Schizosaccharomyces pombe: one gene and its partners. The gene in region 3 interacts genetically with the main gene of each other region. Each region holds a gene or a part of one and is shown on either strand. Other genes may lie near its edges.

Region 1 (5,965 bases), on a different chromosome or scaffold from region 3:
TGTTCCACTGTTGGAATCGAAGTTGTCTCCACTTTCGTGGAACGGGAGACGGTAGATAAAATAATGTACCTTGAACTGAAAACCACGTAGATATTTCATCTCCCGTGTAGGAGTACGGAAAATCATGGGACAAACAGTCAGATATGCTCAGCAAATCACATACATTAAAAGCCTCATCCGTTGTAACGCAAGAATCAACGTAATTTTCAAAAAGTCCGTAACGAAAAACAGATCCGCTTAATCCACTCTGGTTGATTGTCGATTCGATATCCACCAAGCTTCGTCTTTTGGAAGTAAAGCATTGATCAACATTAAGCATTCGTTCTCGCTGGTCACTTTTTAATGAAATACAATTCTTGTTTTCTTGGCTTTTACTGACTTTTACTCCCTTTATTCGTTCCGAATTGCCCGTTTGCTGAGATGAAGCCTTTAGCACTTCATCATCTCCTTCCCGTTTGTTCCATACAACTTTTCCAATGGCATGCATCATTCCAAGGCCAACGTCCTTCTTGAAAAACGAATTCTCATTTTTATCGGATTTTGGGATATACGCACTTTTATAATTTTTAAATCTTGCGTAGGCCTCCGAATCGCTTTTTGACAATCGTTCAAGAACCTGCGCAGCTTCTAAGCTAAAATCATTCCCCTTTCCTTTCCCCTCTTTTACTTCTCTAATATTTTTTGTTCCTTTCTTTTCAAAAGATTGAGAGATCGATAATTGTAAGGAATTTATCGCACTCCTCAAATCCCCTTCGCTGGCAGAACAAATATTCTCCACCAAACTCAACAACTTTGGAGACTTGGGAACACCCTCTTTACGTAGAATAGAGCCAAGGCATTTTTTCATGTATGTCGGCGCAATAGGATTAAACTGTAAAACTGTTACACGTGGATCCTGAAGTAGATCATTACCCATTATCTGCACGCTATTAAAGGAATTTCGATCTTGACTATTAATACCTTCCAAGTTGTTTAACTGTATTTCTGTAAGAACCATGATGATGGAAAAGGCGCCTCGCGATGTCAATGCGGTGCGAATGACATTACGAAAAGCATCAAGAGAGCCATTGAATTTAGAAAGGTGAGGAATTTCATCCAAAAAAATAAACTTTTTCTTTCCTTGTGCATTTTTTCCACGCTTTTGAATATTATTTGAATCCATAAGCTCTAACTCTGGATAAGTTTCGCATAAAGACATAAATCTACTAAACTTTTCCGTGAGCGAAAGTGTATCTGATTCTTGGTTTGAAGGCTCTTTTAGGTTCATAGGGTTTAGCCATTCTATGAGACTATAACCTAATTCTTTAGCCAAGACCTGAACTGCGGTACTCTTTCCACAACCAGAAGGACCACAGATCAAAAGTAACCTCTATGATTTTGTTAGCCAAGAAATATTTTTGAGAGAATTAGGGGAGATTTAACATACACTTTCTAAAGAATCCGTTAACATCCATTGCTTAATTGCACTTATTTTGCTTTTATGCACGGCAAGATCAGCCGCTTTTTGAGGAATGTATTTTTCAAACCAAACTATGCGCACCGTTAATTTTTGAACCTTTTTAAATTTTCTTACGTTGAAATCGATCTTCTTTTAAATTATTGAGATGAACAATTTTGTTTTCTTCATCAGAAAAGGCTTCAATATCTTCTTCATGAATATCGGTTATCGAAGCATTTTTGTCGCGTGAAGTTTTTGAAACTAGAGAAGGTTTTTCAATCTTTCTTATTTTCTTCTTTTTTAATGATCTCTTTGTAGATTCATGAAACGACAACTGTCGCCTCATGCCAGATATATGTTTTATTCAACAAAGAAATAGGAAGCTAAAGGTAGAGACTTTGTAAATCATTAGATAAAATATATATTAATAGTTCACAAAATTTTAACAGCACAAAAAAACGAGTGAATTGATTAATTTACTGCTGACAAGTAAATGTGTGAACTAGTGAAAATATACAAGTACTGTATATGGAAGAGAATAAGTGAGTAGGTTTCTTAAGTACTCTGAAACTGCTTCCTATAAAGAAGAGTAAAAAAGACATGTGTATAATTTATTTATAAATCATTTATTTGTACATTTCTCTTATTGTAAGATATATTGCGAAAGTATTTATTACAAATTTACTTTTTTTTCTCATACTGTAAACAATGATCATCAATAAAAAAGTTAGCTTTTTAATTAATGAACATCTGAACGATAAAGAATGAATAAATAAACAAGTAAAATAGTGATATATTTCAATTGAGAAATTACTCTAATGGACACAGAAATGTATTTCTCTTCATTTATAAAATCAAACAATTGGCATTTTCAATTATGTCGTATATGAGTGCATTAGGAACTAGCAGCTGGAAAGGCAAAGCTGTAAATATTAAGAATATAGTAATGAGTATATTTAACCTTGATTTGGATTGCGACATTACACTGGAAACCAAAGGAGGAATTGTTTCATTAGAAGCAGTCTAATAATCCAATGTTGCTGCATCAAAACTCCCTATTTTGTTGATAAACATAGTTAGCCGAGCTCTAACTCTTTAAGAACCGATATGAACTCCATTGGGAAATGAGCAAGAATAGAAATCAACCAACACTACAGAAAGTTCATACCCATACATCTAATGTGGTACTTTTAATCCCCTATCCATCAGTATTTCGCTTGGCTTAATTATATTTGATGGGATGTATTTCCTTTTTGGAATTGATTTTTCGCATAATACTGGAAACAGAAACCCTTGTGAGCAAAGAAAAACTTGGGAAACCCACTTGATTAATATGGCAAATAATTTTTTTCTTCAAAATGGCATTTATTTTCCATTTTGTATTTACCATTCAAGTAACATGTTTTTTTGACAACCTAACCCTACCTACCGGTTTCGACATGTGTTCCATCCATCCTTGGGATTTTACTAACACCAACAATCGTTTGGCATAAGGTGAAACTTGGAATTGCTGTTGGCTGTAAATTTCATCTAAAGTCGGTCGCTCTTTTGACTTTTGCATAAAAGAATTGTACATAAAAACAACAATTTGGAGTAATTTCAGAGTCTACTTGATTTAATTGAAAAGGTTATCGACAGCTTGCTCGACTTTATCAAGGAAAAAGGTAAGATGAAATCGAGTCAAACGCTTGTTTATTCGATCCCTAGAAATGTGGAGAAGGACACATGTGCGGCAGCCATTAAGGCATATCAGTACCTAATATCTCCGCCGCCTTCTCCCATTCCAAATGACAAAGTTGCAAGTACTGTTGATGTACCTAAGTGTTCTACAATACCTGAATCTCCAAAAGATTCTATTGTGGAACCAAAGCCGACAGCAACACCTGTTGCGCAACTGCATTCCAAGGTTTACGATCTGTACCGAGATTCACCTAAAATTTGGCTTCGCCGAGAAAGGCAATGGCTTCAGCGTCATTCTCCAGCATACAGGTTTTCGACTCCAGCTGCCAAACGTCCAAGAAGGCAACCCAGCTCGTTTCTGGATGTGCACGCTTCTAATACCCGTAAAAGAGGTTCTCCTGATACGCCGGACTCGGGACATTCAACTCCGCATTCAAAAGGAGATGTTCATCCTGGAATGCCTCAACATAATACGCGTTTCAAGCAGTCCAGTAGGGAGTTTTCCTCCAACACCCAGGCCATTGATGTCGCCAATACACCATATGAGCTATTGCCTGATTATTCTCCTGATATGTCTGTTTTGGATAAACGTTCTCATCCTCGCCCCCTTCGTAGCGAATGGAAGGGCCCTCCCCTTGATCTTTCCAATGATGAGAATAGACACCTTTTACATCCTGCTGAGCTACAGTTGGCTGCAACACTTCGATTGCCTTGTCTCGTTTATCTTGACAATAAGCGTAGAATCTTTGCTGAGTGGCACAATCGCCGTACTCAAGGCCTAAGCTTTAGGAAAACAGATGCTCAACGTGCTAGTCGTGTCGATGTGAACAAAGCTAGTCGTCTTTGGAAAGCTTTTCACGATGAAGGTTTCTTTGACGACTAATTCGCGAATCGTTCATAATCCTGCTGGCCTTTCAAAAAATAGATTTTTTCTCTCTTTTTCTCTTTTGGCGGGTTAGGGAAATAATCAAATTTAAAAATTTCGAAAAACCACGGATTTCATTTTCGTTGGATTATTTATTTTTTTCTAGGTGTTTTGAATTTTTTGTTTACAATCATTTGCATCTCGGTAAAACCTTTCTTTTTTTTTTTGGATATTTCGTCTTGAAGTCGGTGTCCATCGTTTTATCTGGCCAATAACCAGTAGTATATACCTCAAGTCCCTCTTTTCTTCCTTCGTTCACTTTTTGTTTTTTTATCCTCCCAAAGATGAAAAGCATCATGTAGTCAGCATTTGTATTAAAAAATTCATTAATACAGATGTGAAATAACTCTCTTTTAAAAACGTTCGTTTCTCCTATTTACAGTAGATATTGTTATTTTTATACCTAATAACCGATAACCATCAGTTCCCTAATCAGACGGATTTTAGGGGTTTTTAGTTATTTTACTCTACTCAATTAGATCCAATGCTTAGCGGATAATTAATAATTGATTATTTATTCTTTGCTATTAAATTAATTAAACCATAGAAATTATAATGGATGTCCGACGTTAATATCCCAGTATTAATATACCCCAGTGTTGTAATGTAATGAATATATGGTCAAATCCAGCTTTTCTTAATCCTTGCAAAAAAAGTAAATCGACACGTAAAAACTTGCAATACCCGTGCAAATTTTAGTAAAAACCGATAACATATATCCCCAAACCAATTAACCAATATAATAACCCAAGAGCCCTGCTCTAAATGAAGTTTTCAATCTTATTGCAATTTTCAACTTCACATTGCATCTAAATCAAGAATTTACTGAAATGTTATCTTCTAGCTTTCTAAAAATTTATTGCATTTAAATAGTAAATCCAACGTGTAATAAAAGTTGGAAAAATCCCATGTTGAATGATATCGAAACTTCTCAAGTAAACAATTTAACAAGCAAACGATCAGGTTCAATGAGATTTTGATAAACAGCATCCTTAAGTGCAAATGACATGTTGACAATAAGAGAAATAGCCAAAGCTGTTCCTACAATCAATGGGCCCCAATAATCAGTCATTGGCGCAGGACTGCGGGACTTGATCATTTGAGAACGCTTGGCATGAAGCTTCCAAGCATAGAACCCAATGAAAATAGCTAAAAGAGTATAAACTACTCCAAAAGCCTGACCAAGTCTTTCTCCAGCACTATTATATAATGCAAGAGCAAGAGAACCAAGCAAGACCACGACATGAAGCCACTTCAAAAACGTACGCTCATTTGCAAGCCAAACTTTGGCCTCAACCTTAATCGGACCACTGACTCTAAGCGGAATCTCTGGTTTCTTGATATGGGGTGGAGTAACAAACGTTTTACCATGATGCTTAAACGATCCATAAGTAGATGGCTTCAGCAAACCAGGTATGCTTCTGAAGTTGAAATGGTCTCCGTGCTCATTTCGATACACCTCTCTATTATCTTCGGGCTCTTCTGAAACAGGGTGCATTTCATTGGCCTTTAAACGATTGACCAAAGGTGAGGGTTGACTAGGTTCGGGTGTCATATTCTGCTTTAAAACTCTTTGATTCCTACGTTTAATGTAAACATTTCGAGAGCCCGCAGATCCCTCGGGATGGGAGTACACCTCTTGAAGATCTTTTCGAATATCTTGATCCATTGAAAATACCCACATTGGTAAAAGAGATACGTATTTTTCAAAAAGAATTGCAACACCATGCTCATATTTCGAAAAACCATCAATTTCAGAAATTAAATGAGAATTACGCAATTCAGAGATCCAAAGAGGTTCGTCTTCATCATATCTAACACATTCACGGATTTCTAGGACACTATAAGGGAAACGAGAATACTCTCCTTTTCTTAAGTGCTTATATGGGAAATCAGCATCGTCAATATCGTGACGATGCCAA
Region 2 (5,409 bases), on a different chromosome or scaffold from region 3:
GATCTTGGATGACCAGTTACGTTGGGTTTAATGGCGAGACTGCGGCCATATCAGAAGAACAGTTAATTTGGGCCGAAAAAATTCCTGATTATAACGAAGAAATAGTAGTCCGTTTGCATTTGGAAGAAGAAAATAATTTGAGCGATATCTTGCAGAAAGCTCAAAGTCAAAACCTTGATATTTGGGACTACAATTTCGATCATGTGGATTTACGTTTAAAAGAAGAAAATTTTGATTTTTGGAAGAGTCAATATCGTAGTGACATACTTATAAACAATCTGACAGAGACCTTATTTGAAAGCATTGTTCCAGATACTACGAATTCCCCTTTTTCCACAGAAGCTTTCCTTCAAGCCGTTGAAAATGGTCATTTAAATCACGAAATGTTTACTTCCTTTACGGATATTTTTTTCAAGTCATATCAGAATTTAGAATCGATTAATTCCTGGTTGAGGTTGATGGCGTCCCTTTACAAAGATTTAAGTGAACTAGTTCCAGTTGGAATTACAGCGGAAGGTCGAACGATTTTAGGCCTAAAATTGAACGGTCGACATCCTTCCGACAACGGGGAAAAGATTCGTAACAAGAAAGTGATTATTATTCAAGGAGGATCTCATGCTCGTGAGTGGATAGGTATTCCATCTGTTTGCTATGCCGCATGGCAATTGTTGGCAAAATATGATTCCGATGGTCATGTCCGAAAGCTTTTGGATAAATTTGAATGGATTTTTATTCCAGTTTTAAACGTTGATGGTTATGAATATACATGGTCAAACGATAGACTGGTAAGTGGTTTGTAATGAAGCATATACTAATTATTTGTCAGTGGTCAAAAAACAGACAGCCTCTTAATAATTCCGAGTGTTTTGGCATAAATCTCGATGCGAATTGGGCATTTGGCTTCAACGGTAATATTGATCCTTGCAGCAACGGTAAGCGAACTATTTTTTTTGATGACTTATTACAACTAACAAACTCAAGAATATGGAGGATTATCACCTTTTCAGGCTAACGAAACTATGGCCTTGTTCAATCTGATAACTGAATCCTTGTCGCAAGAGCAGAAAAAGGTCGTTGGATTTCTTGATGTGCATTCGTATTCACAATCTGGTATGTTTCGACAGTCTATTTTCATTTACTAATTAAGTTAGTTTTGTGGCCTTATGCATATACCTGCGACTTGTTTCCTCCTGATACTGAGAATTTTGAGGAATTAGCAATTGGCTTAGTTAAAGAGTTGCATCGCGTAAATAGTAGATACTACACATATCAACAAGCATGTATACCGTATGATGGATTTCATAAACATTACCTACCTGGAACTGCCATTGACTGGGTTTATTTTGCTGCTGATGTAGCATGGCCTTTCAATATTCGATTACGAGACATGGGTGATTATGTAAGTTGATATCTCTAAAATTTTTTACTAATTAAACAAGGGATATTTATTACCTGCTAAACAGATTGTCCCCACAGCTAAGGAATTTTTTGCGATGATTCTTTACTATGGAGAGTTTATCGCTGAGTATGCATTTTAGTCCAAGAAAGATCAATAATTATTCGCTTATCTGTTGGCAATTTTGCCAAATTTAATTATAGTAATTATTAATTTATGAAAATAAATACCTTCCTTCCAGGTGGTTCAATTGATGCGTTATTTACCTGTCTTAACAATAAATCCAGTTCTATCAATTAACGTTTTTTAGAACGTTATAAGAATTTAAGAGTGAATACTTACTAAAGTAGTGAATCATGATTACTTTGCAAGAGTAAATATTAAGATTTTTTGGTGTAATCGTATTTGCACTCCACCAACATAGTCTCAATAATAACAGTTGTGAATTGCATATTTTTTCAATATGACGACTGCACATGTATGCTCAATTTACATATATATCCTCTATTTTATAATTTAAAACTAACTCATGTTTAGAGACCCCAATTTGATCCAGCTAGGGGGCATTCAGAAATGGCCCCTACTAGGATAACGTCTAGTCGCGCATTACCAGCTCATTTAAAACTAAAATATAGACAAGAATCTCAAGGAACTGAGGAAGAGGTCAGAAAACAGGATTTACGAGAGGCATTGTTACGTGCAGAGGCTGCACATTTTGCAACTCAAGAACATGGTGCCTCTTCTGAAGAAGTAAGCCAGAATTCAAAACTCATAGAAGGTTTCACTTCCCCTTCAACGGACGATAAACCCAATAACGATGTTGAGGTTGATTATCAAGAGCTGTTACGGCAGACTTTGGAGGCGGACGAGGATGCTAGCGATAGCGACGACAGTGTGGATAGTTCAAATAAAAATTCTGAGGTATCAATTAAAAGAAGAAAAACAGAATCAAATTCTCAAGAATCCGTTGACTCATCAAATTCAGAAAGTTCGGACGAAGAGTCCGATTCAGAAGATGAGACACAACAGCTACTTCGAGAGTTGGAAAATATAAAACAAGAAAGAAAACGAGAGCAAATGCTTCAGGAAGAGAAAAACAGAGCACTGGAGCAAGAAAAAAGGGAACGGGAAATAGCTTTTGGAAATGAGCTTTTGAATAAAGCTTCTTCAGGGTCTTTTCAAGTTAAGCGTCGATGGGACGAAGACGTTGTTTTTAGGAATACACATAAAGGGGTTGATGACACACCTCGGCCTGGATTTGTTAATGATATGTTGAGAAGCGAGTTTCACAAGAAGTTCTTGGCAAGATTTGTTGATTAAATCACCTGTGGGTTTGCTGTCTTCTTTTCTTTCCACAAAACAAAATTTCTTCATTCTACTGCTATCATACAAGGCAATTTTTAAGAATGTTACTTATAAATGAGATGATAATGTTTAATTGATAACTTGCTTCTTTTTTTGTTTTAATACTGGCTGTACTGAGTTTAGTAGTTACAATTGTTGGTATATTAAGTTTACAAAATTTATAATTGCAAAGCCTTTATTTGAGTGATGCATATCTTATTTATTCTCTCACCAAATCTGCGTTAACGGAAGGGGTTACTGAAAAGTTTACTATAATTTAATGTAAATATTTTATCATTTTTAAAAAAGACAACTACTATAACTTTTTGTACGAAGGAAACATTTGAGAAATACTATATATATACTTTTGAAGTCGTTTGCTTTTACTTTTGAAATCACTAATTTATTTAACATAATGCAAGGATGGTTGCTCAATACCGAAATATAGTTTTACTACTGTACTGGCTAATCACCACTTGACTTTTACCAAGACATAAAGGCTTTCGTAAACAAAATGGCTTTGCGAGTTCCAAAGGCCTCTGGGCCTCAACTGTTTCGCGAAGGATATCGGATTATGCAGGGCGTAGAGGATGCAGTAATCCGTAATTGTAATGCTATTCGTGAACTTTCAGAAATCGTAAGGACCTATAATTTATTAAGCAAGTTTCATTCATTTACTGATACTTTTAGACCCGTACCTCTTTGGGTCCAAATGGAAAAAATAAAATTGGTATGTTGACTCAAACAGTTATTTCATTTCTTATTCTCTAACACACACATAGTTGTCAATCATCTGCAACAGACGTTTTTGACGAATGATGCTGCGACCATTATACGTGAATTGGAGGTTATTCATCCTGCTGCTAAACTAGTTGTCGATGCTACCCAACAACAGGAGAATGAGGTAAGTTAATTCATTAACTGTACAATTTTTTTTGAGATACACTTGTTTGAACATTAAATAAGCGGATTTTTTTTCTTTGCGGACTTTATTTTAAGCTTCCTTTACCTTTTGATCCACTCATGTGCCTTACAAAAGGGCATTTTAGAAAGCACTTTGATTACCCTTTTATCAACGTTTTCATGTTTTATATAACTCTATCGTATTGACGCTTACTTTGTTTATTTATACTTCAAATATTTGTACATTGATTTGCTCTTAAAACCATTTTCTGTTTACTAACCATTAGCTTGGTGATGCTGCAAATTTTGTGGTTGTATTTACAGGTGAACTTTTAGCCAAGGCTGAAAACATGATTCGCATGGGTCTCACTCCCTTGGAAATTGCTAAAGGATACGAAATGGCTTTATCACACACTATGGAGGTTTTGGAGGAAATTTGTGCTGATAAAATTGAGACTGTTGAAAGTGAGAAGGAGCTTATTAAAGCAATTCGAACTTGTATATCTTCTAAGCAATATGGAAATGAAGATTTCCTTTCGGATTTAGTTGCTAAAGCGATCCTCACAGTTCTTCCCAAAGATCCATCCAAGTTTAACGTTGACAATATCCGTGTGGTTAAAATTATGGGAAGTAGCCTTTATAACTCTCAGGTTGTAAAGGGCATGGTATTTCCTAGAGAGCCAGAGGGCACCGTTACACGTTCAAAAGAAGCTAAAGTTGCTGTTTTTTCATGCCCTTTGGATATTTCTCAAACCGAAACAAAAGGCACAGTATTGTTGCATAATGCTCAAGAAATGCTTGACTTTTCTAAAGGAGAGGAGAACCTTATTGAGTCTCACATTAAAGAAATTTACGATGCTGGTGTTAGGGTAGTTGTCACTAGTGGCAATGTCAATGACTTAGTTTTACATTATTTGAATAGATTTGAAATCCTTGTTATTCGTGTGCCAAGCAAATTTGAATTACGTCGCTTATGTCGGGTGGTTGGCGCTACCCCGTTGGCTCGTATGGGTGTTCCCATGCCTGAAGAGATGGGATCCGTCGATGTTGTTGAGACGATTGAGATTGGTGGTGATCGTGTCACTGTATTCCGTCAAGTTGAGGATATTACACGTACTGCAACAATCGTGCTTCGAGGGGCTACTAAGACATACTTGGATGATTTGGAAAGAGCGATTGATGATGGTGTAAATATCGTAAAAGCTTTGGTCAAAGATAACCGTTTAATCTTTGGTGCTGGAGCTAGTGATATGCAACTCTGTATTCGTCTAATTTCAGTTGGTGAAAAAACTCCTGGTATATATCAACATGCAATCAAACAGTATGGAGAAGCATTTGAGGTTGTTCCTAGGACTATTTCAGAAAACGCTGGATTAGATCCTACTGATGTTATTAGCAAACTTTATGCTGCCCATCATAAGGAAAACGGTGAATCAATTGGAGTTGATGTTGAATGTGAAAATGATGGAACATTAGATGCGAAAGAAGCTGGTATATTTGATGTTTTATTAGCAAAAAAATCAGCAATTAGATTAGCAACTGAAACTGTACTCACTGTTTTAAACGTTGATCAAGTTGTTATGTCTAAACCAGCTGGAGGTCCAAAACCACCTGGCCCCAACCCTCATTGGGATGATGATTAAAATTTAAGTGAGTTTCATTTTTCTACTAGGATTGGATTAAAACGATGAATAGTTTTTGTAAAAATCTGCTACTAATTTTCTATTGAAATTAAAAGCGCGTTATCAAAATAATTAGGTACAGAC
Region 3 (6,549 bases):
TGGAAATGACAAAAAACTTGGGTAGTTATTTTCAGAATTGTTCAAGCAAAGCTCAAATTTCTTTCTTTATATATTTATTATTTTCACATGTTCAAGATTTTATTGTCAGAAGCAAATGGCTTTAGTCCACAGTAAATTTAAATAACCAAAAAAATTCATTATTCCTATTAACCGATCTTTATTAACAATATTTTCTCTTCATTCCATACATGGTCGATTGTCCTGCTGCAGCTCAAATCACTATTTCAATTTCATAGCACAGAGCCAACTAACCTTACTCAATGATCCACTAAACAATATTTCGTCTCTTAAACAACAAATAGTCATCTTGATTTGCATTTAATTCAATTGATAATATAGACTTATACATTTATACCTTCCACACGGCTTTGCTGAATTGAGGATATTATAAAACTTTAACCGAATTTGCCAAATATGGAAGAGGAATTCCTCTCATTTAAAAATTTTTTACAGGAGGATCAAGATAAGAGGGAGAAAATTATTCGTCTTTCTCGTGAAATCACAATTCAAAGTAAACGAATGATCTTTCTTTTACATCAAACATCCTCTTCTGATGGATTTCCTCTACCCAAGGATTTCGACAGAACATCCATTTTTGAAAAAAAAATTCACAAAGAACTAGAAAGTCTGAAGAGAGAGTTGGCTGGATTAAATGCAGACAAGTTCTCTTCTGCTTGTACACACGGCCTTCAAGAGTATGTTGAAGCTGTCACTTTCAAATTCTGGTTACAAACAGGTACGTTACTTTCTTGTAAAGATAGTAGCTTTAGAATTTCTATTAATTTCATCGACTATGTACTCGGTGTTTGTGACATGACTGGTGAAATAATGAGATTCCTTGTAACCAACGGCTCTAAGTTCTCTGTCCAACAACTCACTCAGCAAGTTAAATTTCTTCGTGGACTACACAAAAACTGCTCAGAAATTGAACACTTACCATCTAAGGTCAAGTCAGAATTACAGCAGAAATTATCAGTAATGGAGAACAGCATTTCAAAAGTTGAAGGAATTTGCTATAGTAAAATTTTAAGAGAAGCAGATAAAAGATATTTAAATTTGGAAGTGGATACAGCAACTCCTCCCGAGGAGAAACGATTACGGTCCACATAATATATGATCGACAGCTCTCGACAGACACCTTACTAGTTTATTAAAAGTTTTTCTGTTTTGCAGCTTTTGAAAATCATAATTATTAAGTACATATTTTCGACGATTCAATTATCTTATCAAAAGCTTCCGCTGCTTTCTATATGTTAGAGTTTCCATAAGCTAGGATGTTTGTACAATATAAAGTTCATTTAATAAGAGAGATTTCAACCTAATTCCATCATTTTGAAAACAAATTGTATTTCAATATTTCGCCATATGAAACCACACGTAAAATTAATCATGATGCATCAGTTTCCAAAAGCACTTGACGTTAGCAAAATCTCGCATTTTCCAATAATGACAATCCCACCTGGAATCACGAACAACAAAGGATACTTTTGTTCTGCACAAGAAGGATCATATGAAATTTGCGACAGACCTAGAGTGACCGTACCCATTGTACTCGTATCAGCAGCTGCGGTAAAACTATACGACAATGGTCCATGAACACCTAGCCAAATTTGTAATCCGACCGAATAGCCTCCAATTTTAAATTGTAATGAGCGCGAGCTCTCCAAATATTCGGGTGGCTCTTCAATATATGGATAATCAGTAACCGTTGGTACAGGATTTTGATTGAATGGTAACATCATCGTACAGTCAAAATGTGATATGCCCACTATAGTCCAGCATACAGAATCTCCAACTCGAGTCATTTCATTTGAACTCAAGTTTCCAACAGCTTCCCATTCTATGGGCAATATAGCCTCACTAGATGCATTTCTGTTTTGTGCCGACGTGGCCCCAAGAAACCAACGGACTGAAATATTATTGGAATATGCCAGTGAACTATGCTCAGCGATCTTAAGATGCCGTACGTTTGATATGGGATATGCGCTTTCTAATACAATTCTATGCATTTGATTAACGTAACCGTCCTCCTCAGCAATGTGGTCTTTTTCTACTCGTCGAATAATTAAAGGGTCACTCGTCGTTCCTGTTGCTTCATCGACCAATTCAACGATGGAGCCATATTTAATGGGTTCTGGGTTATCGACATCGTCGCATACCTTCAGTTTACCATTTTCATCTGGTAATAGCAGGTTAATACGCAATGGCACCCATCTATCACCGCGAAGACAAAACTGACCAGCCTCAATCGATGTATACTTTGTACGTACAGTTTGTGAATTAATCCGGTTATAAAGGCTGACGACTGAACCGGATCGCAACGTAATATTACTAATTTTTAGTTTGCTTCCTTTTTTCGAAGGTTTGGAGACAATACTAATAGAAGAAGTAACCAAATGAGATAACAATTGGTTATTTACATTCGAGAACATGTCCAGAGAAAGCCGTAAGTTTTTAGATTTCGCAGCGACCAAACTCGATATATGCAGTGACCGAAAAATCATACATCCTTGGCCAGTGTATTCTTCGCTGATGGGTTGCGAACATTGCCCAAAATCATTCATTATTGATATCTCAGTGCGAAAAGACTGATTGAATATAGAAGAGTAATTCCCATTAATATAAACCATAGGGGGTGGACATAGGTAACGTTTCTCTGACCCATAAGACTTTTGTATGACAGAGGAATGTCGACACGAAACTGTTACCAGCTGACTAGGTTTCCCTGAACGTGTAAGTGAAATTTTGTGCACACTGTCCTCATTCAAATTAGCAATGCCAATACAACAATTGTTCAGTAAATCCAAATGATCTGATATGGCTCTTCGGATCATCTCTACAGAACTGTCTTCATCAAAGGTTTTTCTTTTTCTATTAAACCCAGGAGGAGAAGGAGCAGGAATTATGTTTTGGGCCAGCTCGTCCAACGAATTAGACGCCTTTGCTACAGCAGGAAAAATTGACTGTTCATCCTTAACTACAGAAGGGAATTCCTCTGATTTTTCCAAAGTAGCCAAAGCTGAGTTTACAGCACTGAAGAGAGACAAAACCTGCATGGAAACACTTCCAGGACTCCCGCTTCCAACTCTTTCAGAATTTTCATTCCTTCCTCCAGCTCCATCCTCCTGATTATGCAAACCATTATTTATGTTGTCCACTAGAAAAATCCGTTAGCTATTTTACGCTTGGGATGTTCAGAATGATTTATAACTCAACCATCATTGCTAGCGCTTACAGTTCAACTGATTTAAATTTAAGGAGCCAGAAGTATTACTCCCAGAGATATTTGCAAAATCCCAGGCAAAATAGTCCCCCATTAATGTTCAAATTATGTTTTATACTTGCTTAAACTGTTGGACCTATAGGATTAAGACATGCATTTGCTTTTACTTAAATTATTTTCAGTGAGAAAATATTAAAATTTAAAGTAAGGGACCAAATTACTAGATGCTTAGGACATTTGCAGTATGGCGCTTTCTACGTACATTAGGGTCAGGTCGGTGGCTTCCTACTCAGTTTGAGCCATTTCCATTAACATCGATTTTTCGATATTATATTAGTTACCCTGTTATTTAAATACTAAAAGTATTTAAAATTTATTAGAATTACTTATTATCTCGTTTTTAAAGTGAATATTAGCTTGCCCGAATAAGCTGTATATGCCTTTTTCCGGAATAACCACGAAACGATCGTTGGCGTGAGATTATTTTGAATTAGAAATTCTTCAATAACTCTATTTAAGATCCTTTAAAACAACTTATCGAATGAACGACGAAAGACTAGTAGCCATCAATTTTGAACAGCAAATCTTCTCTAAGATTAGCGAAATTTCTGAATCAGTCGGTAGGGCGATCCGTTACTGTAAGGAAGATGGAAAAGTTGAAGGATGTGAAACAGCATCCCATGTGGATTGTACGTTACTTTTTCTTATAAATTGAGTGATAATGTTTGCTTCATCAAACGACTAATTGCTAATGAAAATCCAGTCTTAAATCATATTCATTTACTTTTGGGAAATTACAATAATGACTTAGCATCTTCAATTGAAAAGAAGAAATCCGAGTTGATAGTAAGAAACTCAGAAGGGTTACCTGTTATGGATATTCATGAAGAAGTTGATAAAGATGGAAATATTATAAGTGCTTCTGTTGCTCCACAAAGAATTTCATCTGTAATAGATTATGCGGATGTCTTTCGATCCCTTCCTGGTTTCAAAAATATTGAAAATGGGGGGAACCGTGATACATCTTCGAGAATTGAAGAGCTATCTGAAGAAGAAATTAACGATTCTACGAAAAATATTAACTACAAAGCTCCAGAAATGGGCTCATTACCTTCTAATACTGAATTTACTTCAACTCCAACACTTGGTGTCTCAGAATTTCCCAGCAAACATGGTGATCATTCAGACAGTAAAACATATGAGAGTCCTATTAGTAATAGTCAGGCTGCTTCATTGAGTGATTCAGATATGGTTCAACAAATTAAAAATGGTAGCAAGACTTCTTTGTTTAAAAAGGGTTTTCTTTTCAAAAAAAATAATGCAATGCAAAACAGAACTACTTCAAATATAAAGTCAAACGCTTCTGCTATTGAAAAAAATAAAGAAACGATATTGAATGCTCTCAATAACTCTACTTTAAATGAAAATGGACATCAAGATACCCAAAATGAAGTTTTACGAGACATTGTGTTAGAGCATCCGACAGCGAAGGCCCAAGATACTGGGGAATCTAATAAAGATAATAACACTAGCACGTCTAAACATAAAAAACGACCTAAGCGTCTTTCAAAATTTAAACAAGCTAAGCTAGAAACAAAAAAATCTGGCAACAAAGATCATGCTACATCTAGTGAAAAGCTTTCACTAGGAAATGAATCTATTCATTCTATAAACGAAACTAGAAGTAGTAGTATAGAAGAACCAGATAATGCCGACAATAAAATTGTCGAAGAAGAACCGATGTTACTACCAGTTCCGACGACTGCGCAAGGACAAAATGTTTTGGAAGCAGTACAATACGACGGTTTAGACTCTTTAGAAGATATGGAGGCTCTCATTCAGGAAATGGAGGAGGAAGGCGAATTAGATGATAATTCTGAGTCTGAGGAAGATGAACATGGTATGACGATAGGATTTTCCAAGGAACTGAAAGCTCCACCGGATCCTCAATATTTTACAGAAAAGACTGGTGCTACAACTTATGTCAATGGTAATGACGAGAGCCTAAATGTCAGTGACTTTCCACAAATCGTTGAACAAGAAGAGCTTTCGTCAAAAAATCCTCGAAAGGTACATTTTTCAGACACGCTGGAAATTAAACACGTCAGTCGGAGTGGAAAGGCGAATATTGAAGTTATACCTGCTCCAACTGAAGAATACGATAATCTTTTTGGACCAGACGATTTTCAGAGTCGTATTTCAGCGTTTCGTAAAGCAAGGAGCAAATTGCGCGCAAAGGAAAACGAAGAGGGCAACCATTCTAATGCCACATGTACAATCAAGAACGATGATTTGAGTAACACATTAAATAATCGGGCTGCGAATACAAAGTTAAATCCAAAAGAAGAAGACAAATCTACTGTAGAATCCGAGCTTAAAGCACCGCCTAAAGAAAAAAGCTCGGAAACTTCCAAGGAATATTTAAATGAACCATCTGTAGTAAAAGATTTTGTAGTTGAACGAACTCCATCTGACAAAATTAGCGAGTCTAAAGAAGCATTCGATGCGAAAGTCGAGGAAATTAGTGATCAACGAGCTATATCACAACGTTACTACGAACTGAGAAAAAAAATGATAGATAATACAGGTGAATATATTAAGGATGAAGAAGAACAGGCAGTTATACCTTTGGATGAGAATGGAAATGAAAAACCTAAAATGAGCCGATTTATGACCGCGAGGTTGCGTGGTCGTGTTCCCATTTATGAGCATTAGATTAAAATTTTGTATAAAAAAAATTAAATGATTAATGTTTTTGCTTAAGTTATCTAATTACGGTTTTGAGTTTGTCGCGTAATAGCAACGTTGTAGTCTTTCAACATCTCTTCTGGAATAGCAGACGGGCTGCCAATTAAAAGATCAGCACCCGAAGAGGTTTTCGGAAAAGCAATGACCTCGCGAATTCCTGGAGCATTCGTCAACAGCGCAGCCAGCCTGTCAAAACCCAATGCAATTCCACCATGCGGTGGACAGCCACTAGACAATACGCGTATTAAATGCTCAAATGTAGCATACCTATTCTCTGGTAATTTAAGCACGTCTTTAAGCACAAATCTTTGAATATCTGGATTGTGTATGCGAATACTGCCACCCCCTAATTCAATACCATTCACGACTATATCATAATGAAGTCCACGAACAGAAAGAGGCTTTTTTTCCAGTAAATGTACATCATCCCAATGAGGAGCAGTAAATGGGTGATGTGTAGATGTAATAGATTGATTTTTCTCTTCGGTTGGTGAGAAAAGAGGAAAATCCACGACCCAAACGAATTTTAATAAATCCTTGTCCAGCTCTGGTAAAGC
Region 4 (5,602 bases), on a different chromosome or scaffold from region 3:
ATGTTTGGTTAGCTGCGCGACCTTGCGTCTAATATTATCGCGTACCCAAGAACTCGTGTCCGAATCGACCATGGTGTCCCGAGCTTCAGTCAGTTAGCATTCAAAACTATTTACAGCTTTTTTGCATACTAGTATCGAACATAAAAATCACTCATTTTCGAGCAAATAGGAATATGATGGCTTCGATGACTACTGCTGAGAGGTAAACTCTTGGTCAAAGATACGAAGCATATAGTGATTCACTATTTTAAATAACACAATACACTAGTGCATCCAATTTTTGGAGCTCGACAATCAAAGTTCGTGGGTAATTCAATATACAGTGTATCTTTGATGAATTCGTTGACATTATATATTGACTGCTAAGTCTATATCTGTAAATCAAAGTCTTTTAATTCCTTAAAGGCTTTTTCCAAATTCAGGTTAAATCTTGACAAGTTATTTTTCTGGGACCTTTTAACGTTCCACGACTTATTTCACTGCATTTACAAAAGTTATTCTGGCACTGTTGCATCTTTTATCGCTAGTTTGTGATCCTTGGGTTGTTTTTTATTAAGACTACGGTTTGATTTTTTTATTGTAACATATTAAATCGAGCTTTTGACAGGCTTCATTTATGTTATTTATATATCGACATTCACAGCTGTCATCCAAAAATATTTTTTTTAAAGGTAGCTAAATAAAGCGAAAGTCGTACTCACAGATTATCTCAAATCAATTGTTGGTCTCGACTAGTTAACCAAGGCACATGACATGTTATATAAGTTTTAATTCACTTGACAATTATCATTTTGGTTAATCTCTCCTTCTAATATGGCCTTTTATTTAGAAACAACCCCTTCTAATCTACCGGTTTTGGATCCTTCAGAAGAAATTTTGCTAGTTCAAGACCAGGTAGGTTTATACTTCGGAGATGAGAAAAGTTTTCGTCATAATAATGGAACATTATATTTGACAAAAAAACACATCTTCTACGTAGATTCAGTAGATCCTAAAAAGAATTCATTAAAAATTAAAATCTCCGATATAAGAGATGTACAGCATACCTCTAGGTATTTTCGCTCCTCCCCAAAAATTCGCCTTTCTCTGCGACATGTGGAAAAGTCATGGGCTTGCAAAATTTGTACATTTATCAATGTGGGTGATCCCATTAATCCTTGTAGAAACTGTGGAGTTGCTAACCGATTTACTATTATAAAGCCGAAATCAGATGCGCGTTTTTCTCAAGGATTATGCACCGCGTGTACTTTTCAAAATTATCCGGATCTGAATACTTGTGAAATTTGCGGCAATCAATTAAAAAATGTCGATAGAAACCAGCTTATACAACTCTCGTTTAGAGGCTCGGGTTCATCCAAGTTTTACGAAGCTATCAAATCTGAAACAGATGAAATAGAAAAACAAAGATACTCGAATAAATATGATACTAAAGTTCTGAGGAAGGCCATCCTTGAAAAGTCTTTGCGAATGGGTGGTATTCATGATCTTGAGCAATCTCATGAGATGCAATTAGCCAAAAATGGACGTACCTTAGTACATGCGTTTCAAGATTTAGATGCTTTTTTTTCTTTAGCGAAAGATACTATGTCTCTGGCTGACCAATTTGCTGAAAAGATGGATGGGCTGACCGGCACTCAACAGTCTGACAAGGTACAGCAGCTTTTAAACAAATCGAATCAGTTAGGAGTGTTACGAGGAAATCATTTAGATAATGTTCCTGTTTCGGCTAATTCTCGATTGTATGATATTGAACTATGTAAAAGTATCTCAGAAGTTTTACGCACAAGGTTAAAAGCTGATACCGATACGGTTACCATGACCCAGGCTTGGGCCATCTATAATCGGTCAAGAAAAGCAAACCTGATTCCTCCGACCAGATTTGTGAAGGCTTGTGAACTAATAGATTCCATGGAGGTTGGTATAACAACGTCCAAAATGAACTCTGGGCTTATCCTTTTTCAATTAAAAACTTCTAATCATTCAGGAAAACTTTTGTCCGCTATATTGGAAGTTATGAATCCTAGCACTACGGCTTTGAAATGTGCAATGAGGTTGCATTGGTCCATTGGTGTAACGTTAGAAAGACTTTATCAAGCTGAGATGGACGGTTACATTGTACGTGATGTTTATGAAGAATCTGGTTCTAGCTTACTATACTGGAAAAACGAATTTGACGAATTATCAGAAGAATTGACTAAATGGTTTGATGAATCATAGGAATAATAACTGTACACTATCTAATTAATATTCATTCCTTTTAACATTGTATTTTTCTTTCGCTTTAGTAGATTCCTCTCTACACACGCCTTAATTAATATGACTACCTGTTATGGGTATTCGATTCCCAACGTAACCATTTAATCTTAACCTACACCTATTTTATTTTTAATTCATTTGAGAAACTGTTTACACGATAGTTTCAAGAAATCTAATATATCAATATTAATAATTGTTAAATATGGAGACGTACGAGCAAGAATATCGGTATGTCTAATACCATTACAAGTTTACTAATAATTAGCTTGCTTCGAGCAGATATCGAAGAAAAACTTAATGATTTAAGTAAAAGTGGTGAGAACTCTGTTATTCAATCATGTCAGAGACTTTTAAATGAAATTGATGAAGTAGTATGTTGGAATAATTTGTGTTTTTAAAAAAGTGGCTAACTTGCAGATTGGTCAAATGGAAATTGAAATTACCGGTATCCCTACTTCTGAAAGAGGTCTCGTAAATGGAAGAATTCGTAGTTATCGTTCAACTTTGGAGGAGTGGCGTAGACACCTGGTAAGTTAGCTATATCGAACATTCTTCTTTTGAAGCTTTACAGAAATTACTATGAGACAATCTACTTTTATTTACCAAATTCATACTAACAATTTTCTCGTTTAGAAGGAAGAAATTGGCAAATCAGATAGGAAAGCCCTTTTTGGAAATAGGGATGAAACATCCGGTGATTATATTGCAAGTGATCAAGATTATGACCAAAGAACTCGTTTGTTACAAGGAACAAATAGACTTGAGCAATCTTCACAGCGTCTTCTTGAATCACAACGGATTGCGAATGAGACTGAAGGCATTGGTGCTAGCATTCTTCGTGATCTTCATGGTCAAAGAAATCAATTGGAGCATTCTTTAGAGATGGTAAGTAATTATTGCAAAATAGATAAATGAATCACTATGATTGATAAGATAAAATGCGCGATTTATACGCATATCTTAGCCAAGCTTATTAGCTCCATGGTTTAAAAATATAGTTTTCTTTTATGCTATGTATAAATTTCTTTGAGATTTGTTAACCAAATTAGCTTGGAGATACGTCTGGACACCTTGATCGAAGTTTAAGAACTCTGAAGACAATGGCAAGAAGGTAGGACACAGATAGACATTATTATAGTGATATGAATCGTCATGTAATGATCTTTTATACTAACTCATTTTAAAGACTTGCCATGAACAGATTTTTCACGACAGCAATAATTGCAATCCTTGTTATATTAATTTTGCTTGTGCTTTATAGCAAATTTCGTTAGCACAAATATTAAAGAACATCATATAACTTTAGATGGGATCTTTAAGCGTATGGGTCTCTTCCAAGTGGAATTTTACGTTTCTTGCATAATTCGCCCACATTTGACTAGCTAGCTCAACATTCATATTAGACATATTAATTAGCTTTAAGAATGTCAGCGGAAAGTTGATATGTACACAAATATTTGACGTCGTAATCTTACCTGTAATGAATGATTGAGTCTTGTAATACTTTCATTCAGCTTTTCTACATTACTTATGATCCTTCCTAATAATGCGCTTTGCTGTTCTTCCATAGGATTATTCATTTTCGATGGTTTTCAATTTCCTAAACTGTAATTATGTAGTCTGTACTTGGAAGCTTGCATGAGCCAGTGCTGACACTTCGTAGTTGGAAAAATTGAACTACAATTTTAAACCTGTGATCTAAATTTTTTTTAAGAAATTGAACTTTTTGGGAATTTATGAGTTGCATATTTATTTGAGAAGTATCAGTTGATGTTACCACCTACATTTTTATAATATATTTACGATCAAAAGGGCAGTTTAAAATATAAAAAATAATAAATTTTAATATGAAATATTGATTGAGTAAATTTTTATAAAAGGATATTGAATAAAGGATCCAAGAAATAGCCCTCCATAACGCGTATAGAAACAAATATTTATGAGAAGCAAAACATCCGAATAGTATAAAGAAGTGTGTAGTATGAAAAGGTATCAGTGCTAGGATATGGTTTATAGTGTTGTAAATAAATTATCTTGCACACCAAATTTAAGTACTTGGTCAAATGCTAATATTTAATCTCTTGATATTACTAAAATTAGACTTACTGTCGAAAATGCTGCCGACGAATGCTAAGAATTTGATCCCTTTGTGCAGGAGGTAATGCGTTAATTTGCTCTGGGGTAAGAGCCAACAATTGTTGTATGAGGGCCATCTGTTTTGTTAGTGCAAAAAAAAAAAAAAAAACGTACCCGCTTCCCTTCATTGCCCTGATCTGAACCATTCGCTTGTTGACTTTTATGGTTACTAGAAGGTATTTTTTGGGGAACAGAAGGAGGAGAGGAAGTTGCTGAAGCTGGTTGATGCATGTTTTTATTCTTCACTGCGACTACTACTTGTTGTAAGACATTTGCGTCAACTAAGTTCATCAGCAACATAGCTTGAAAGGCGGCGTATGGTAAAGCAGGATTAGCAATTAGAAGTCGTCGTGCCTCTTCTGGTGCTATATGAACTACAGTCTGAAGTTTGGACAACATATTGAGAAGTTCCTGAGCTGAGAAGGTAGATAGTACCTGAACGACAGACGGGGCCAATGGGATAGAAGTCGGATTCGATATAGAAGTCCCGGAAGTGTAATCCCCTTTGTTTTGTGAAGATTTATTATACTGAAAGGTTCTTGCATTGTATGCATCTGTATGGGGTTGACTGGCAGAATCAAAGTCGGAGGTCATACTGTTGTGAAAATTATAAGCAGGAACAGAAGTAGAATTTATATTTTTATTAAGATTAGTAGCCATTGACGACGAATAAATAGCAGGACTTGGCATCCCACCTCCTTGTGAAGCAGGCAGGGAAGATGTTGAATGCAAAACAGGAGGAATAAAACGGGAATTATAAGAACTTTCATGAGCATTTTGCTGTTCCATGTATCTATCAGTACGCTCCGTATATTCATAACTTTGATTCCTTCTGGGATCATTTGATGGAAACTCGACACGAATCTTACGAGGTCCTAATTCGGAATTATTTAACTTTCGTACAGCCATAGCGGTAGTCTCACTATCAAAAAACTCACAAAACCCATAACCCTTCCCACTACCTGTTTCCGGATCAAGTACAAGTTTGAAAGTCTTTACTGGTCCAACTTGATTAAAGATTTCAGTCATTTGCTGTTCCGAAACATCATATGGAATGTTACCAACTAAATTAGATTAGCAAAACCGAATATTTAAAGAATTATTACCAAATACGACATTCCCGGCTGTCATCGACATGCTGGTAGTCGCGTCTTTCGGTTTTGCCCATTCAACCAACGTACTGCTACTACTACTACTACTACTTAAATCA

The links.
Region 1: mutations in uri1 (region 3) and laf1 together harm fitness less than expected from each alone (positive genetic interaction), as found in Schizosaccharomyces pombe (one large-scale study listed by BioGRID).
Region 2: mutations in uri1 (region 3) and cwf15 together harm fitness less than expected from each alone (positive genetic interaction), as found in Schizosaccharomyces pombe (one large-scale study listed by BioGRID).
Region 4: mutations in uri1 (region 3) and dad4 together harm fitness more than expected from each alone (negative genetic interaction), as found in Schizosaccharomyces pombe (one large-scale study listed by BioGRID).

What each region holds. Positions count from the first base shown.
Region 1 is NC_003424.3:5,249,177-5,255,141, reverse strand, and holds laf1 (clr6 L-associated factor 1 Laf1), read left to right. Parts: upstream 1-2,907; 5' UTR 2,908-3,107; coding exon 3,108-4,001; 3' UTR 4,002-4,622; downstream 4,623-5,965. Other genes in the region: RFC-like checkpoint protein Rad17, read right to left, coding at 1-1,369, 1,427-1,530, 1,574-1,784; vtc2 (polyphosphate synthetase), read right to left, coding at 4,975-5,965. UniProt on the Schizosaccharomyces pombe protein: Component of the RPD3C(L) histone deacetylase complex (HDAC) responsible for the deacetylation of lysine residues on the N-terminal part of the core histones (H2A, H2B, H3 and H4).
Region 2 is NC_003423.3:1,038,424-1,043,832, reverse strand, and holds cwf15 (protein Cwf15), read left to right. Parts: upstream 1-1,803; 5' UTR 1,804-1,859; coding exon 1,860-1,874; exon of another isoform or gene 1,875-1,933; coding exon 1,934-2,716; 3' UTR 2,717-2,845; downstream 2,846-5,409. Other genes in the region: ecm14 (carboxypeptidase), read left to right, coding at 1-785, 827-932, 982-1,110, 1,152-1,399, 1,440-1,538; chaperonin-containing T-complex theta subunit Cct8, read left to right, coding at 3,255-3,377, 3,431-3,470, 3,523-3,644, 3,931-5,286. UniProt on the Schizosaccharomyces pombe protein: Involved in pre-mRNA splicing.
Region 3 is NC_003421.2:324,331-330,879, reverse strand, and holds uri1 (prefoldin-like protein), read left to right. Parts: upstream 1-3,785; coding exon 3,786-3,933; intron 3,934-4,007; coding exon 4,008-5,959; 3' UTR 5,960-6,012; downstream 6,013-6,549. Other genes in the region: tfx1 (translin family protein), read left to right, coding at 436-1,131; DNA-binding transcription factor, CBF1/Su(H)/LAG-1 family Cbf11, read right to left, coding at 1,419-3,178, 3,257-3,338; dar2 (aspartate--tRNA (Asp) ligase), read right to left, coding at 6,013-6,549.
Region 4 is NC_003423.3:4,002,499-4,008,100, forward strand, and holds dad4 (DASH complex subunit Dad4), read right to left. Parts: upstream 3,885-5,602; 5' UTR 3,837-3,884; coding exon 3,732-3,836; intron 3,704-3,731; exon of another isoform or gene 3,673-3,703; coding exon 3,559-3,672; 3' UTR 3,531-3,558; coding exon of another isoform or gene 3,443-3,530; 3' UTR 3,368-3,442; coding exon of another isoform or gene 3,306-3,367; 3' UTR 3,142-3,305; coding exon of another isoform or gene 2,890-3,141; 3' UTR 2,785-2,889; coding exon of another isoform or gene 2,674-2,784; 3' UTR 2,628-2,673; downstream 1-2,627. Other genes in the region: mnh1 (protein mago nashi), read right to left, coding at 46-83, 130-155; ESCRT II complex subunit Vps36, read left to right, coding at 814-2,217; SNARE protein Vti1, read left to right, coding at 2,459-2,484, 2,522-2,627, 2,674-2,784, 2,890-3,141, 3,306-3,367, 3,443-3,530; cleavage and polyadenylation specificity factor complex subunit Ctf1, read right to left, coding at 4,359-4,469, 4,507-5,456, 5,499-5,529.